Linked DNA regions of Drosophila melanogaster. The protein of the gene in region 2 interacts with the protein of the main gene of each other region in a pairwise test. Each region holds a gene or a part of one and is shown on either strand. Other genes may lie near its edges.

Region 1 (7,294 bases), on a different chromosome or scaffold from region 2:
AGAACAACGATGACAGTCTCTGGCTGTCCACCGCCGAACCCATGCCAATGACCATGACGCCCATCCAGGGCAGGGACCTCATGAAGTACATTTCGCGGTAAGTGCCAATTTCCTCCTCCCCTAGAAATCCCTTAGACTATTGACATGTCTTGTTCCTCAGTTGCGTTGTGTGCGAAACGACGACCAGGATCATCGCCCTCCACTCGCAATCCATGTCCATTCCGGACTGTCCAGGCGGCTGGGAGGAGATGTGGACCGGCTACAGTTACTTCATGGTAGGTTACTATTCTCAGCATAAGGAATTAAAGGTTAACCCACCGTTACCCAACCTTTCAGAGCACCTTGGACAACGTCGGTGGCGTTGGGCAGAACCTCGTCTCCCCGGGCTCTTGCTTGGAGGAGTTCCGCGCCCAGCCGGTGATCGAGTGCCATGGCCATGGACGCTGCAACTACTACGATGCGCTGGCCTCCTTCTGGTTAACCGTCATCGAGGAGCAGGATCAGTTCGTCCAGCCGCGCCAGCAGACGCTAAAGGCGGATTTTACCAGCAAGATAAGCAGGTGGGTTACTTGAGCAAACCCATTAGCTGTATACATATGTATCTACAATGGCGGTATCATCTTTCAGGTGCACGGTTTGCCGTCGTCGAGGCAACAGCTTTGTGGCTCGCACTGCAAAGTCCAGGGCAGATGCGTCTTCCGGTTTCACAGATGGTTCTGCCTCGAGTAATCCTTCGGGCAGTTTGAAAACAGATGGCAATTACAGGGCAAACTGGCAATCCGGCCGGTCTTCCAGTCCTGGCTCTCAGTCCAGTCCTGGTTCCAGCTCCGGATCCTGGTCATCTGGATCCAATGCCGGAGCTTATCCTGGCTCCAATGCCGGAGCTTATTCTGGCTCCAATGCCGGAGCTTATCCTGGCTCCAATGCCGGAGCTTATCCTGGCTCCAACGCCGCCTGGCAATCGAGGACCAATGCTGGATCCAGCTGGCATTCCGGACCCGTAGCAGGATCGGTCTCCAATCCGGGATCGTACTCTAGCTGGTCCACGGGCTCCAGTCCTGGTTCCAATCCCGAATCTAACGCCGGGTCCACGCGCTCCTCTTGGATCACGCGCAGTCGCGGCCCATCAAACTATCTGAACGGAAGGTACCAGCAAAGGGTTCACCCGAGCAACCTGCAGGCCTACGATGAGTATGCTCGCCATGGTGGCAATACCCGCCAGTACAACCGACGCCCACGCGAGGACACCACCGCCCCCTAGATTGCAGTTCGAACTAAGTAGCAGTTAAATATACGTCTTAAGTAATTTGCTATCCTATCCAGGAAACGAGATAACGATCCAAACCCCAACTCGAGTACCAAACAAACAAAACTTTAACCACAGAACAGTGCCATTTTCCGTGGAGATGTAATCTAATTACGTGGACACCAAAAACTAAAACCATATGACACATATGCCACATACCAAATATAATTATGGAATTATGGAAGAGGGGTCGAGAAGAGTAACCACTGCCTCCACTGCAACGAAAGTAAATCTTGTGCCCCTGTTGGGATTATTGTAAACGTAACACAACCAAAAAGAAAGCCCAGTTTTTTGATAAATAAAATGTACAACACATAAAACGAATGCACAAGAAATTTCGTTTGATTGAAATTAAAGCGAACTTTATATCCCATCTAAATCCGATCAAATGCGATTTTGTTCGGTTCGGATTGGATGCGTTTAGGATGTGTAGAGTAGGCTATAGTTGGGGTGAAAACAGAAATACAGCTAAGTGGATAATGTCGGGACAAGAGCTTATGTTTAAGTTAGGTTCAGAGCCGGAAATCGATGTCTGCGGCTGTTTTGGTGTTGTCCAACTGCTGTTTTCCGCGCTCCTCCGTCCGTCCAGTCAGTCCAATGCTATTATTTAACAAAGTCCGGATTCTCCTGCACCTTTTCGGTGAACTGCAGATGGTTGTCGATGATTTGAAAGAGTACCTCCGGCGAGGGAAAGCGTCCCGTCTGCAGTTTCGACCACACAGGCACATCGTTTAGTGTTATCTCGAAAGCGCCGGACGAGATGAGCTGGGCCTCGAGCATGTTGCCCAGGAAGAAGATCATCATGCAGGCGTATATCTTGTTAGCCTGCATGTGGCTCCACCAACTGGGCGTGTTCAGGCCAAGGAAGGTGAACGGACTGACCGCACTGACCACGGACACAATGATTATGATCTTCAGGGCGAATATCATCTTGGAGAGGTAATAGTTTAGACCCGGCGGATCGTAGTTGCCGCCATTCACCTGAATTTGCGGATACTTCTCGCCCAGCAGGCCCACGTAGTCCTCGAACGCCTTGCGATAGCCGCAGGAGTAGCTATTTGGCGAATCAATGGTGAGAAACACAGAGGTCATTGTTATCAATTATGTTAATTGCCCCGCATATAACGCACCAGTAAAGGAAAGTCATCGTCGGCGCTATGTTCTGTCCGAATTTGGTAACCGGTATCTCCTTCTCGCCCTCGGCGAACACCAGGGCGTATCCGGCGCACAGGCACAGCACCAGTAGTGCCACATTCCTTCCGGTCAGCCTTTCCATTGCGTGCTTATGGTCTGATTTAATTAGGAATTTAATTTGGAATTCAATATTTCCTCACACTTTTGCCTTGGTGTTTGTCCGTGTGACTGGCAAATACCCCGCTACTTCTGTCTACTTTTCGTAGTGAGTAGCACTGATAGGGCTGGCAAAATAGCTATATTTCTTAAAGTACGAAACTTCCGACGGTGAAACTAACATAATATAGTTAATATCGGGTGCTGGTTTAAAGCAATGTGTTATATTTCGTTGATTGTAAATATTATATTGCCATGCTGAAATTATTGATTAAATTATCAAGTAAAGTCAAAAAAATATCGATAGTAAAGACTGCCACCTCTAGCCTACGTTTCACTGTGAATATGTCATTCAGCTCTGAGAATTGGTGAGATTGTTTATTAATTTCGGCAAACAAATGCTGGCAACATGGTAAATGTTATGAAAGGAGTGCTGGTGGAGTGGTAAGTGGTATACGTTTGGTATGCGTTGGTTTCGCTATATTCAACCCAATCCCCGCAGTGATCCTGCTATGAAACAATTCCTGCTGCACTTGGACGAAAAACTGGCTCTGGGACGCAAATTCATTATCCAGGATCTGGACGAGAACCATTTGTTTATCTCCACGGACATTGTGGAAGTTTTGCAGGCGCGAGTGGACGACTTGATGGATCGGATAAGCTTTCCGCTGCACGACAAGGACGCTTAGAACCTACACAACCCATAAAATCCAATAGCCAAAAGTAAAAACCTAAAAACAACCATGACGGGTCGCGAATCCAACCGCATCAAGGACGCTGAAAAGAAGCGTGTCCTGGACTCCACAGCCCGCCAGCGGCGTGCCCGCAAAGCCTTGGAGGCTCTGGAGCAGGACAACTACCACGATGACCCACACGCCGACCTTGTCATGTCCAAGAAGTTGCCCAAATTCCAGGACAGCCTGAAGACCGGCAAGGAGAAGAAAGGCAAGCGCAAGGGCGCCGAATACTTTCTCGTCAAGTATCGCAAGAACTTCCAGCAACTGCTCGAGGAGGACAAGGACAAGCAGCCCAACTACGAGAGCGCCGCAGCGCCGGCTCCACAAAAGCCACTGCGGCATTTCTGCGCCGTTTGCGGCAACTTCTCGTTGTACTCGTGCACCGCCTGCGGAACGCGATACTGTTGCGTTAGATGCCTGCAAACGCACCAGGACACGCGCTGCCTCAAGTGGACGGCCTGAGCATGGTTGTTATGTTTACAAATAAATCAAACATTAGGCATAACTGAATTGCGCGAAGTTTCTGGAAATACATACAACAAATTTTAGCTGTCGTGAATTTTAGCCAATTTGCCAGAGCCATTGGGTTAATGTCATGGCTAAAGATGCCGGCAACATCAAAACTTTGGTTCGAAACATGGCTGTTCAAGGTATTTGTCCATTTTTAGGCAATTATGCTGTGAGCGTCATCGATAGTATCGACCGCTGTGCCACCTCTAGCGCAGGTCCATTGAAACTTTTCAAACGTCTGCATCGACGGCGCCTGTAAAAGAGTCGCTGTGGTTCAAATTAAATTCAACGTTCCCGAGCACAAAACACTGCGAATTGCGGCCTTTTAGTCACCAGAAGGCACTTAAGTCGGCTAAAAAAAATCATATTAATTTCAACCGGCAAAATCAGCTGTAGCTCGGTGCCTGTGCGTGTGTGTGTGGGTGTGTCGTGTGCGTGCGTACGTGTGTGTGTGTGCGAAGTTCCAATCAGAAGGCCAGGATATTCAAACACATCTGTGAAAATTTCTTATTGATCACAAGTGTTATATTTTGAAATCAAAACACTGTAGAATATGGATCGGAACTTCGACGAACTGAAAAAGGAGGCCGCTGCCACCAACGAGGACATCTTCAAGCAGGCGCAACGTGCCTACGAAGACTCTGCACTTGGTGGCGATACTGGCAATGTGAGTGGTGGTGCCCAGGACGATAATGCCCACACGGAGCACTACTTCGCCAACGAGCAAAAGAAGTTGGACTTTGGCGATGCGCAGGAGTTTGTCCAACGCCTGGCCGCCGACGCTAAGGATGCCAAACTCGATTTGGACACCAAGTTTGCACAGAAGACTGATGATTTCGAGGACTTTCTGCGCGACGCTGGCAAGGAGGTGAAGCAGGGCATCAGTGGACTGACCACCGACTTTATGAATGCCGAGCGGGGCTTCTCCGCTCCCCTGGCTCCATTCTCAGAGACGGTAGCTCAAGCTCCGGTTATTCCAGCACAAGCTCCAGCTGTTCCCGATCATGCTCCGGCCGTTCCAGCTCCAGTGGCGCCAGCTCCTGCTGTCCCAGCTCCGCTTCCTGTCGAGGAGGACCTCCTGGGCAGCTTCACTGACCAGCCATCGGCACCACTCCAGGCCTTCCAGCCAACGGCACCGTCCACGGCCAATTTCTATGACGACGAGGAGGATGACTTCCTGGGCAAGCCAACCACTGCTGCCCCAGCAGCTCCTGTCGCCCCATTGACCAAGGCCAACCAGGATTCCGACACTGAATCGCCGTCCGTCTCGTACACACCATCGCCGGCCAAGAAACCCATTGTAGATGCCCTCAAGGATCAGGACAACGAGAAGTTCATCTCGTCGGAAGATCTGGCCAGCGATTTTAAGGAGGAGCCACGCTCAGCACCCACACCAGCACCCGCACCAGCTCCCATTCTCGATGCTGCTCCAGCTGTTGCTCCTGCTCCAGTGGCAGTACCAGTATCAGTACCAGTTGCCAAACCCCAGCCGGTTCCAGTGGCTGTACCCGTGACAACCGCTTTGATAACCGACCTGGATGACGAGGAGGTGGTGTTCAAACCCACTGTCCAGGAGGCGCCGAAGGCACCCACCATCGCCGCACCCGTAGTCGAGCCGAAACCAGAGCCACCCAAACCCAAGGTGGAGCCGGCCAAGCCGAAGGTTGTGCCAGTGGCGCCAGTTGAATCGACCCAGCCGCAGCCAAAGATTGCGTCCGTCGAGGAGATCTTCTGCAAATACGGATTGGGTGAGTCTAGCCACTGCAAATAGCAACTAGTCAACACCAGTTATCATTGCGTTTCTAATTAATTTGTTGTGTTCCCGTCGTCATTCGAGTATTATAGTACACCGTCGTAATTTGAATACCATTTTGATGTTTGTTCCCAGTGTCCTTGCGGCGCACCTTGCATCCCACGCCCTTTCCCATCGCCTGCTGCCCCTTCTATTTAATTTTGTTTTGTGCGTTAGTCATTCGCCACTCTCTTATTATTATTATTTTTTTTTTTTTTTTGTATGGTTTTTTTCCTCCAACTCTGCTCATGAGTCATCGTTTTTTGCGGAGCTCTCTTATTAAGTGAATTTTATATCGCAATGCGGTGAAATTTAATAGCCTAGAAGATACTCTCTTCGGAGGCCGACTTTTCTTCTTCCTTTTCCATTTCCCTTGACATTAATCATTCTCGATTTGAACAGCAGCCGCATTGTTTGCCGGCTTTCTCATAGTTTTCATAGATTTTTCGCAATCGATCGTCACCGCGTGATTCACACTCATTTGAATGCCACGAACAGAAATATGACTGCTTAATACAGGGATCGTTCGCTAAAGGCAACCCGCTAATTTACTGCAAGAAACTACTTTTATAAAAGCAATATGATTTGCAGGTAGAAACAGTGAATAATCAAATATATTATGAATATGAAATGGATATTATTTATTAACCGTTTGATGCTCCTAACGTTTATTGTTTCCAACAAAGCAAACAGAAACAATTAAATAGATAGGAAGGTGAATCGTAAAACAGATAGGCAAACCTTAGATGAGCAGACAGAGGTGAAAAGAAGGTAAATTGCATAACTAATCCCAACTGGGCAACTCATCACGCCGGGTATAGTAGATACGAAAAAGGGGGCAACATTCTCGAAGCTGGTTTCACCATTACCGAGATACTTAACCGGCGTGAATCAGCTGCTCAGTAGCTCAGTAGCTTCTCCATTCCAAAAGCTCTATATTGGTCTATATATAATATATGTATATGTATATATATATAGAGTGTACCCACCATTGACGTACACATGTCCGTTCATCATATTTCGCTTTATTTCATTGCGATTCTTTTTTTTGTGTTTTCTGTGTTTCAGCTTCGTGTCCATTAAAGCAATTTGCGGCAAAGTAATTTATTGTTGCGTAGTAATCTCTGCTACTATTTGGCAATCTCACGTTTCCATTCCCATTTCTACTACCTTTCGACAGTGCGCTAATTTGGCCAGCGAATAATTCAATTCTCGTCTCCCTCGCGGCGAATGCGAGTTTTTCACGGCATGCAGCAGGCGACCAGCAACTGCGGAAAAATATTTTCCAATTAGTGATTTCCATTGACGCCTCTGTCTGCCAGTCTGGGTTGCATCCATCCTTTTAGTGCGATTATGCGGCTATTTTTGTTATTCCACTACCAGCTGTAGCTGTAGCGCACATATTTGCCTTGTTCTTTTGTTCTTTCGCTGCGCTTTTGTCTTTCAATTTGCCATTGATTTCGCTTTGGACTCTCGCATCCGAAACGGATTTCTCAATTGCATCTTCCCCTCTCGTTTAGCATCCACCTTATCGCACCCCCATTATCGCCAACGGTCATAGTTGCAATCAACTGTAGTTCACTGACAGCTCCCGCGATATCGTCACATTTTAACTTTACACATTTGTGTATTATAACTACATATAACAATACCATCCTG
Region 2 (8,441 bases):
TCCAATGTCGGCCATCGTAGAGTGCGTAAAGGTCTTGACATCAATAGTGTACAGATTGCGCCAGGCATTTTTCAGGGCCAACAAGGCATAGGGTATGAAGTTGGGATGTCCATTGATGACGACATCCTGCAGTGGCACCTGGTTTTGATTTATTGGAAATATTATTAAATAAAGGTGATGGAACTCTCTTTTAAGCTAAGACTTTTCAAAGCTATGTTACACATAATTAAATCCTATTGCATAAGCTTCTAAATATTGTTTACTTTGATTATTATTTAATTATTTCTTATTTAACCTTTGAACTCCTAGTCTTGACCTTGACATATTGATAGTCGTACCTCCTTTAATCCACCATTCTGGAAAGCAGTCGTGTGCTGGAAAGTCTTGCCACAAACACCAAGTCCCGCCCGGATTTGTCCCAGCTGCGCCTTCAGCTCCTCCAGCTGCTTGAGAACCTTCTCCTGTCGGGCGGCCACTGATGCCGTATCGTCCTGAAAGTAAAAGCAGGGAAAGAGGATGTGTTAGGGAACGACATATAACGTTAGCCAAGGCCACAAGAACACACAAAACGAAGCATGGATGCATTATAAATATTTCTGGTACTGGCGTATTGTTCTTTTTTTTTTTTTGTTAGTCGGTGGTTTATAAATAGAATTTCGTATTTTAGTTTGGTGGTCTTAACCTTTAGCAGTCGCTGTATTTGTCGGCCTAAAGAGTCCAAATCAAGTGCACATGTGGCTGCGTTTCGTCCCGTTCTGTCGATCCTGTTGGCCTCCAATTTCTGGCAAGGATCACACATGCGGGAATGGAATGGATGTGGCGTTGTAGACATACGTTGCACTTTCACTGTCCTTGCGACCCGACCAACTTCTCACTGGCCCGGCAAATAAACTTACGCATGATGATGTGGACGCGGATGTGGATGCGGATGTGGAGGAGCCGCTGGCCAAGGAATCCGCCGCCAGGCTAACGTTCTTGAGAGGATACATGCAGGTGGGCAGCTTTATGTCGAATTGCGGCAGCAGAGTCTTCAGTTCGTACATTTTCGCGGCGAGAATCGTTGGATAAACACAATAACCTGCGCAAATTATCAATTCCAAAATGTGCTTGCCGTCTGTGAGAAACTTTACAAAATACCAAATAATTTAAGGCAACGCTATCGCTATCGTTCCACTTAACACCATTAATCTGGTCACATTGCGTGCGGTAATGAAAGCTATTGAATTCAAATTTAAAATGTAGTTTTTATACATTTTATACTTCATCCAGAATATTCTGCTTGGTCAACTACTGTTGTGTCGTTATACCTTTAACGAAAATCAAACAAAACATTGTTTAACTCTTTTTAATTCAAGTTTTTTTTATAGAAATGTCTCAGTTATTAACAAAAATAAAAAACAATTTGAGAAAATAATGCAATTTATATAATAATTTCCCTTTCTATAGCTAAGTAAATTAGGAGACTGGCAATCGTTCATATTATTCAGATTTATTTTTAAAAATATTCCTAGTTCTATGCTATCTTGGCCTTGGGTGGCACTTTCGGTATGCGCTTTATCCTCCTGTCCACGATGTGGCGTAGACGCCTGTCCGGCTTGACCAGCTCGCTCTCTGTCATGGGCTCGATTACCTGGCCCTTGCGCGTGATTACTGCCGGACGGGTCAGCATGCGGAACGCCGTCTCCGGCACAAAGTTCCGGCCAACTGGAGCACGGATACTGGCTTCGTAGTCTGCCAGGGATCGGAAAGGAAATGGTATGCTGGAGACCATGTGCTGGCGCGCCTGCTTGCTGGCGGACTCGTTGAGGTAAAGATTATCCTTATTCTCGTCACGACGCTTTTCCGGAGCAGCCAACTTAAGAAGAAGCCGCTTGTTTCGTCGCTCCATTACCTCCTTCGAAATGCCAGCACCCGCCCAGGAACCCCATCCAGGCAGGGCGAGCTGAAGCTCAGTGTTCTTAAGCTCGGAGTCCTTGCTTTTGTCCCGATTAAAATCAGCTACAATGTCATCATCCTCGAAGGCTTGACTGATTGTCAACTGGCGTTCAGCAGCGGCGTCTTCCTCGTCGTATTCAGCTGCTTCATCGTCTATTAGAGCATCGTTAAAGCCTCCCGAGTTGCCCTTCTTTTGGGTAAACACCAAAGTTGTCACCTTGTTGGGATCTATGGTATCCACAGCTGGAATTTCCGTGCTTTCTGTGTTACCTTCAACGTGGGCAGGGATATTATTCTGTGAATTTTTATCCTCCTCGTAGTTAAGGGGCTCGTCAATCTCTATCTGTTGCTTTGTCTTTTTTAAAGCCAGACTTTTTAGGTTTTGCAAGACGTCCTTCTTTTTCGCCTTCTTTCCCTTGACAGGAACTTCTTTAAGTTTGTTTATCCGTTCCCTCAATTTCTCCATTTTCTTATTTAGTTTGGCTCTGATATGATCCTCGTGTTTCTCAAAAATGTCATCAATGGCTTTTGAATTCGGGCTTGCCTTGGCTTCTTTCTGATCAGTTGGGCAAATATCTTCCACCTCCCAGCCATTTTCTATCTTAACTTTCGATTTCTTAAGTTTCTTCTTAGCAGGTTTTACTTCTATTAATGGTTTCCGAATAGTTTCTTTCTCCTCCTGCTCGTCATTATCCTGGACTCCTTCCAAATCCCTACGATGCTCCTCCAGTAACTTTTCGTTTTTATTCCTTTTTGTCCAATATTGCCGCCAATTGGAACCCTCACTTTCACCATTTCCATTTTCCGTTTGCTCTGTAGCTTTTCTTTTTGTCCAAGGATTAAAGGGATCGTAGTCATTATCCTCCTCCTCGGGTAAAACTCTCTTCTTGGTGGTTTCATCTTCGCTGTCTGACACCTGCTTTTTCTGGGTCAGTTCCCTGCTAACAGCCAACTGCTCGGCCAGATCCTTTCGCACATCCTTGTCGTACTTGGCCCGTATCTGCAGATTCTTCGCCCAAGTACCGGTGTTCTTGTGCCGCAGGCTGGCACGCTCCTGCACTCGACTCTTTTCCAGGGCATTAAGCTTTTCCAGCGCCGCCTCTGGATCGGTTTTCTGCAGCAACTCGAACTCCTTCATCTGCTCCAACATTTTTTGTCTCTTCTGCAGCTTGTGGAACTTTTTCGATTTGATTTTGTTTTGCATGCGCGCCTTTGCTGACTTTTGAGACTCGCGCATCTTCAGGTAAGCTAGCTCCTTGCGACGGGCAAATAGTTCGTCCCTGGTAAGCTTCTTTTGTAGTAAAAGCCGCTCTTGCTTGGCCAGCTCCTTTTCATCCGTGGTATCCCCAATTTGCGCTTTGCGCAGTTCCCGTAGTTTACGGTTGTTAGCCTCGAGTTCTTGAGCAAGATTGGACTTGACCCGGGTGTTTAGAGGCCTGGCATTTGCCGCAGTATTTACGTAAACCGTTTCAGATGGTAGGGGGAAGATCTGTAATAAGTTTTGGAGATTATATGTGTATGTCACTGTTAGCATTGGCATTCATTCACCTGCGTCTCCGCAGATCTCTGTTGAGCCACCACAGCATCCCAACGACCGAGTTTCTTGGTAACTCCCTCGTAGCCAATGGTCCGTTTAATTCGATCCGCAGCTGGTTTCTCCAGCGGCTTCTGTAGCACCTTTTTGCTGCCATGGATGTTCTTGAGCTTCTTGCCCGTCTGACTGTGCTTGGTGGAGGTGCGTAGGATGTCTACCAGATCGTTCAGACCCACGGCTCTGGGGGCATGATCCGTTTCCGCTGACGAAACACCTTTTACCAGCTGGAACTCATCCTGGAGCGACTGCCGCTCGTCGCGCGTGGACTTCTGGATGTGCTGCACCTTGCCCAGACTGCCGATGGCCTGCAGCAGCTTCTTGTGTGCCTTTGGTTCGTAGTGCTCCTCGTCGTCACTCATTTTTGTCAGGAAAATATTTAAAATCAAATAACAATACAAAAATACTTCGCGCAGCACGTGTGCAGAATAACAGCTGAAGAGTTATCGATAAGTTTTGCGGCCCATCACAATTTCTACCTGTGCTCGATAGCATGAGTGTGGAAAATGGAGCTGCCTTCTTTTAAAAATTAACTTAAATATAATAACATTTACTACTCAATACATATATCTATGCATCAAAAATCAATTGATTTTTTTTTAACAATAAATGTACTTTTAACTCAGCGAAAACCCCCTTCGTAACGCCCTTGATGATTACTATCGATTGTCCCCCCACGAAAGACCGGCTATCGATGACAACGGGATGAAAATATTTTGTTTACGAATTCGACATTCGAATCGTCATGGCCGACACGAAATCCGGTAGTGGTCGGCATTCGGCTGCCGGGGGAAGTGGAAACGCCGTCCTGTCGCCCTTGGGGCAGGGTCCTGCGAACTTGGAGTGTAAGGACTTTCAGGAGTATCTGCGCACCCGCCAAACGCCAGAGTCGCTGGAGAAGCTGTACAACTATCCGCCCATTTGTTTGGCCGTTTTTCGGGAGCTTCCAGAGATAGCCCGGCAGTTTATCATAAGGATACTGTTCGTGGATCAGCCTGTGCCACAAGCGGTGGTCACATCATGGGGTGCCCAACGTTGTGCCAAGTATGACTGTATCCAATTGGATAAACAATATCATTGCAATGCATTACTTTTGCAGGGAGCAAGCCGAGGCAACCAGCTGCCTGACGGCTTTGAACGTCTGGCGGGTCACAGCCATTCCGGGTGGCCTTTCTGCGTGGGAGCTCTCGCCCACCTTCAAGAAAAGCGTACGCCAGGTGCTGCTGGGCGGCGGAAAACCTTGGCCTATGACCAACACGCTGGATAAGGACTCGAAGCCCAGGGACATTGCTTTTCTGGATACATACGCCATGTCCCGCTGGCGTTGCGTGTTGCACTACATGGTCGGCACCGGAAATCGCAATGGCACCGATGCGGAGGCCATTAGTCCGGACGCCGTTCGGATTCTGCTGCACGCCAATCTCATGAAACGTGATGAACGAGACGGTATCACAATAACCCGGCAGGGCTTTCAGTTCCTGCTGCTGGACACGCGAGCTCAGGTGTGGCATTTTATGCTACAGTACCTGGACACGTGCGAAGAAAGAGGAATCAGCCTGCCGGAATGCTTGTCCATGTTGTTCCAGCTCAGTTTTTCAACGCTGGGCAGGGATTACAGTTCCGAGGGCATGAACAGTCAGATGCTGACATTCCTGCAGCATCTACGGGAGTTTGGACTGGTCTTCCAACGTAAGCGTAAGGAGGGACGCTTCTATCCCACACGTTTGGCTCTGAATGTGACAAGCAAGGAGGCGGCTGCGACTGCATCTGTGGCCATGGATGAGGAGGCCACTCAGGACTGTGGCTACATTGTGGTGGAGACGAACTACCGAGTGTATGCCTACACTGATTCTCCGCTCCAGGTAGCCGTGTTAGGTCTGTTCACGGAGCTTCTCTACCGCTTTCCCAATCTCGTCGTGGGCGTGCTAACCCGCGATTCAGTGCGCCAGGCGTTGCGTGGCGGTATCACGGCAGAGCAGATTGTCTCGTATCTGGAGCAGTATGCGCATCCCAATATGCGCATGGTCGAGTCAGCCATTCACTCTAAATCCTGCCTGCCACCCACAGTCGTTGATCAAATTAAGCTGTGGGAATTAGAGCGAAATCGCTTCACCTACACCGAAGGCGTGCTGTACAATCAGTTCCTCTCGCATACAGATTTCGTAACGCTACGAGACTACGCCCAGTCGATCCACATGCTGGTGTGGCAAAATGAGCGAACTCGCACAATGGTGGTGCAAAAGAATGGCCACGACGATGTCAAGCGTTACTGGAAGAAGTACTCTAAGAGTGGTGTTTAGCCCGGTATTACGACCAATTATTGGGAAGTTATTTTAGAAGTAACATCTGTGCCCATTTTGTTACAAGCTAAAATTTTAAAATATGGTTTAATAAGGGAGTGTGGGATTACACATTTATCATCGACATTCAACATACAAGTGGAATAAAATTAAAATACACAAGTATCATACACATAAAAACAGAAAACCACCAAAGCTTTTCCTAGATTGTCCTTTAGGATGGGTCGACATGTAATATTGCTAAACGTAAAAAACAGTGAAGAGACAACTAACAAATGCATACAAAATAATTTTATTTACCCAATAAAATAGAAAATTTAGAATGTCCTATACGTTATACCTAAAGAAAGCATATCGAAACATCCTCGCCTACCTAAATGCGAGTGGAAAAGAAACTAGCTCAACCTAATACAAAATGGGACGCTGGGGCATGCAGAGATTGTAGTAGCTGCCCTTGGCCCAAAAGTCCATGCCCTTCCAGCCGCACCAACCTTTAATTTGAATGGTGGCCAAATCATCGGCACCTGTATAATGGGGATCCAAGATGAGGAACTTCACCTGACCCGTCTGCACGCAGTAGTCCACCCCGATAATGGTGTGGGCCAGAACACCGCCACCAATCATTACCGGTGTACCTTGCGTTTGGAAATGCATCGCCAGCTCGGAGGCAATAGTCGCCAGCTCAGCTCCAGAGGCTACGTGCAGAATTTTTGAGTCCACGTTAAGGAATCCCTGCAGACACATGCTGATTTCTGTGGAACCAATCCACTGAGAAGAACCCACGAATGCAGCAGGTTTGTCGTTGATCTTGTGAAGGTATTCCTGCACCTCCAGATGCGTCGGAATCGGTGCGTTCGTATAACCCTGCAGCACAAACCAGGAGCAGATCGTCTGCAGCGAGCGATATGCGCATCCCCATCCCTTGTCCTGCACCTGCTGTTGCAGGTAATGATAGTAATGGTAGTTACCATTTACTAAGTACTCTTTGCCGTCGACAACTCCACTGGGACGTAATCCGATGTGGGTATTTAGCAGCGGAGTCCATGGTGCGTCCTCCGTTTCACCTAGGAAAAGCATCTGGTTGGCCCTGCGGAAATAAGGACGACTGATGGGCAAAGCAAACTGTCGATGCAGGCGCTTGCGTCTCATTAGCATGCTTGGTGTATCGTCACTCAGACCTTCCAGATAGGCGCAGCTCACGAAGTGACCAAACTCTTGTGGGTAGAAGTGATAGCTAGCGGGCACCAGCAGCTTTCCACTTCCCGACTCCGTGAGATGCTCAATCAGGCTCAGTTCGAACAATCTGAGACCTCTGCAGATGCTCTCGATGAGTACGTCGTATAGCCGTTGGAGCTTCGTTTTGCGGCAGAGAATGGCCATGGCTTCGATCTCTAATGGTACCTGGACTCGGATCTGTTCCTCATTGGTCACAGCAATGCTGAGTGCCGGATGAGGTGGCTCTCCGGACACGGGATCACGACTGCGCGAGCGCATCACATCGATGGGGATCACCTCGTAGTCGCAGCCAGTCGGAGCCAGTCTCTTGACTGGCGTGTTCTGACCTTTAAGCTTCTTTTTGTCGACACTGGCAGTCTCCTTTTCATGTCCTGGAGTTGGAATGACGTCTATAAGATCCTGAATTTGGGAATCGCCGCTAAACTGTTTGTCCAGTGGCCCGTAGTTATTAATGAAAATCTTTGTCTGCGGAACGTTAAACACTAGATTTCCGTCGGCTACCCTTTTGCGCAGCACATGCATTTCCCGGGCCACGGATTCCGGTGTGGCGGCCGTTTGCAGAAAGAATCCGCACTGCAGCCGGGTGAAGCAGAAGTCGTTGTACAGCTGATGTGCCTCCATAACCTCGTAGGGTACCTCCTCCAGTTTTCCATGGACGAAAAACGAGGCCCGCAAGCCCACCAAGGTGCCCAATTCGCATTGCAGTAGGATGGGATTATCGGTGATATCCACAGATTTGATGACCTCATTAAGGTGCGCCTCTCCATCGGTGCAACCACCAAACTTGACCAGTCCGCATAAATCCAGTTCCGCCGGGAATCTGTGTTGGATCTGCTCGTAGTTCAGTTGTCCCAAACTGGACTCAATGTTGAAGCTCAGTAGGAGTAAGGTACCTTCTCCATAGAAAACTCCAAACAAGCATCCACTGCACTGCTGCTTTGTTCGCTCCAGGCGCTAAAATTGGTGAAACCGCGTAAACGATATATGGTTAAATAAACGATTTATAGTCTCACCTTCAACAGGAATGCGGATATTTTTAGTTTGGGTAGCATATTTCTGATAAATGTATGAAAATAAAATAAAGTAACACGGCCACCCACCCGAGTAAATGTTGCTCAGCTGGCAATTTTTTATCGATAACTGAGTGTCTGTATGGTATTTTCCTATCGACATACATATGTATATTTATTGGAAAGTTTGAAAATGAATTCAAATAAATTGTTTGGATAGAAATGTATGCATTGACATTTTGGTAGGATTTTAGGTTAGAGATTCATTGGTTTAATTATTAAAATGTGAGCCAACGTTTTATATAATAGTCCATTATTTCCAATATATATACATATGTATTTGCTGCGACAGTTTTCCATCTGCACAAC

What was found.
Region 1: the proteins of mrn (region 2) and Tfb5 interact in a two-hybrid assay, tested with the Drosophila melanogaster proteins (one study listed by BioGRID).

What each region holds. Positions count from the first base shown.
Region 1 is NT_033779.5:5,006,478-5,013,771, reverse strand, and holds Tfb5 (transcription factor B5), read left to right. Parts: upstream 1-2,937; 5' UTR 2,938-3,005; coding exon 3,006-3,040; intron 3,041-3,098; coding exon 3,099-3,285; 3' UTR 3,286-3,339; coding exon of another isoform or gene 3,340-3,795; 3' UTR 3,796-3,841; downstream 3,842-7,294. Other genes in the region: vkg (viking), read left to right, coding at 1-97, 161-275, 337-560, 628-1,261; SelT (selenoprotein T), read right to left, coding at 1,910-2,360, 2,437-2,582; CG31917 (uncharacterized protein), read left to right, coding at 3,340-3,795; Rtnl1 (Reticulon-like1), read left to right, coding at 4,397-5,591.
Region 2 is NT_037436.4:15,576,337-15,584,777, reverse strand, and holds mrn (marionette), read left to right. Parts: upstream 1-4,240; 5' UTR 4,241-4,271; coding exon 4,272-4,570; intron 4,571-4,625; coding exon 4,626-5,826; 3' UTR 5,827-6,009; downstream 6,010-8,441. Other genes in the region: AIMP2 (aaRS-interacting multifunctional protein 2), read right to left, coding at 1-138, 339-491, 683-781, 897-1,043; CG12301 (uncharacterized protein), read right to left, coding at 1,514-3,424, 3,484-3,888; Ufsp2 (UFM1 specific peptidase 2), read right to left, coding at 6,232-8,016, 8,076-8,114.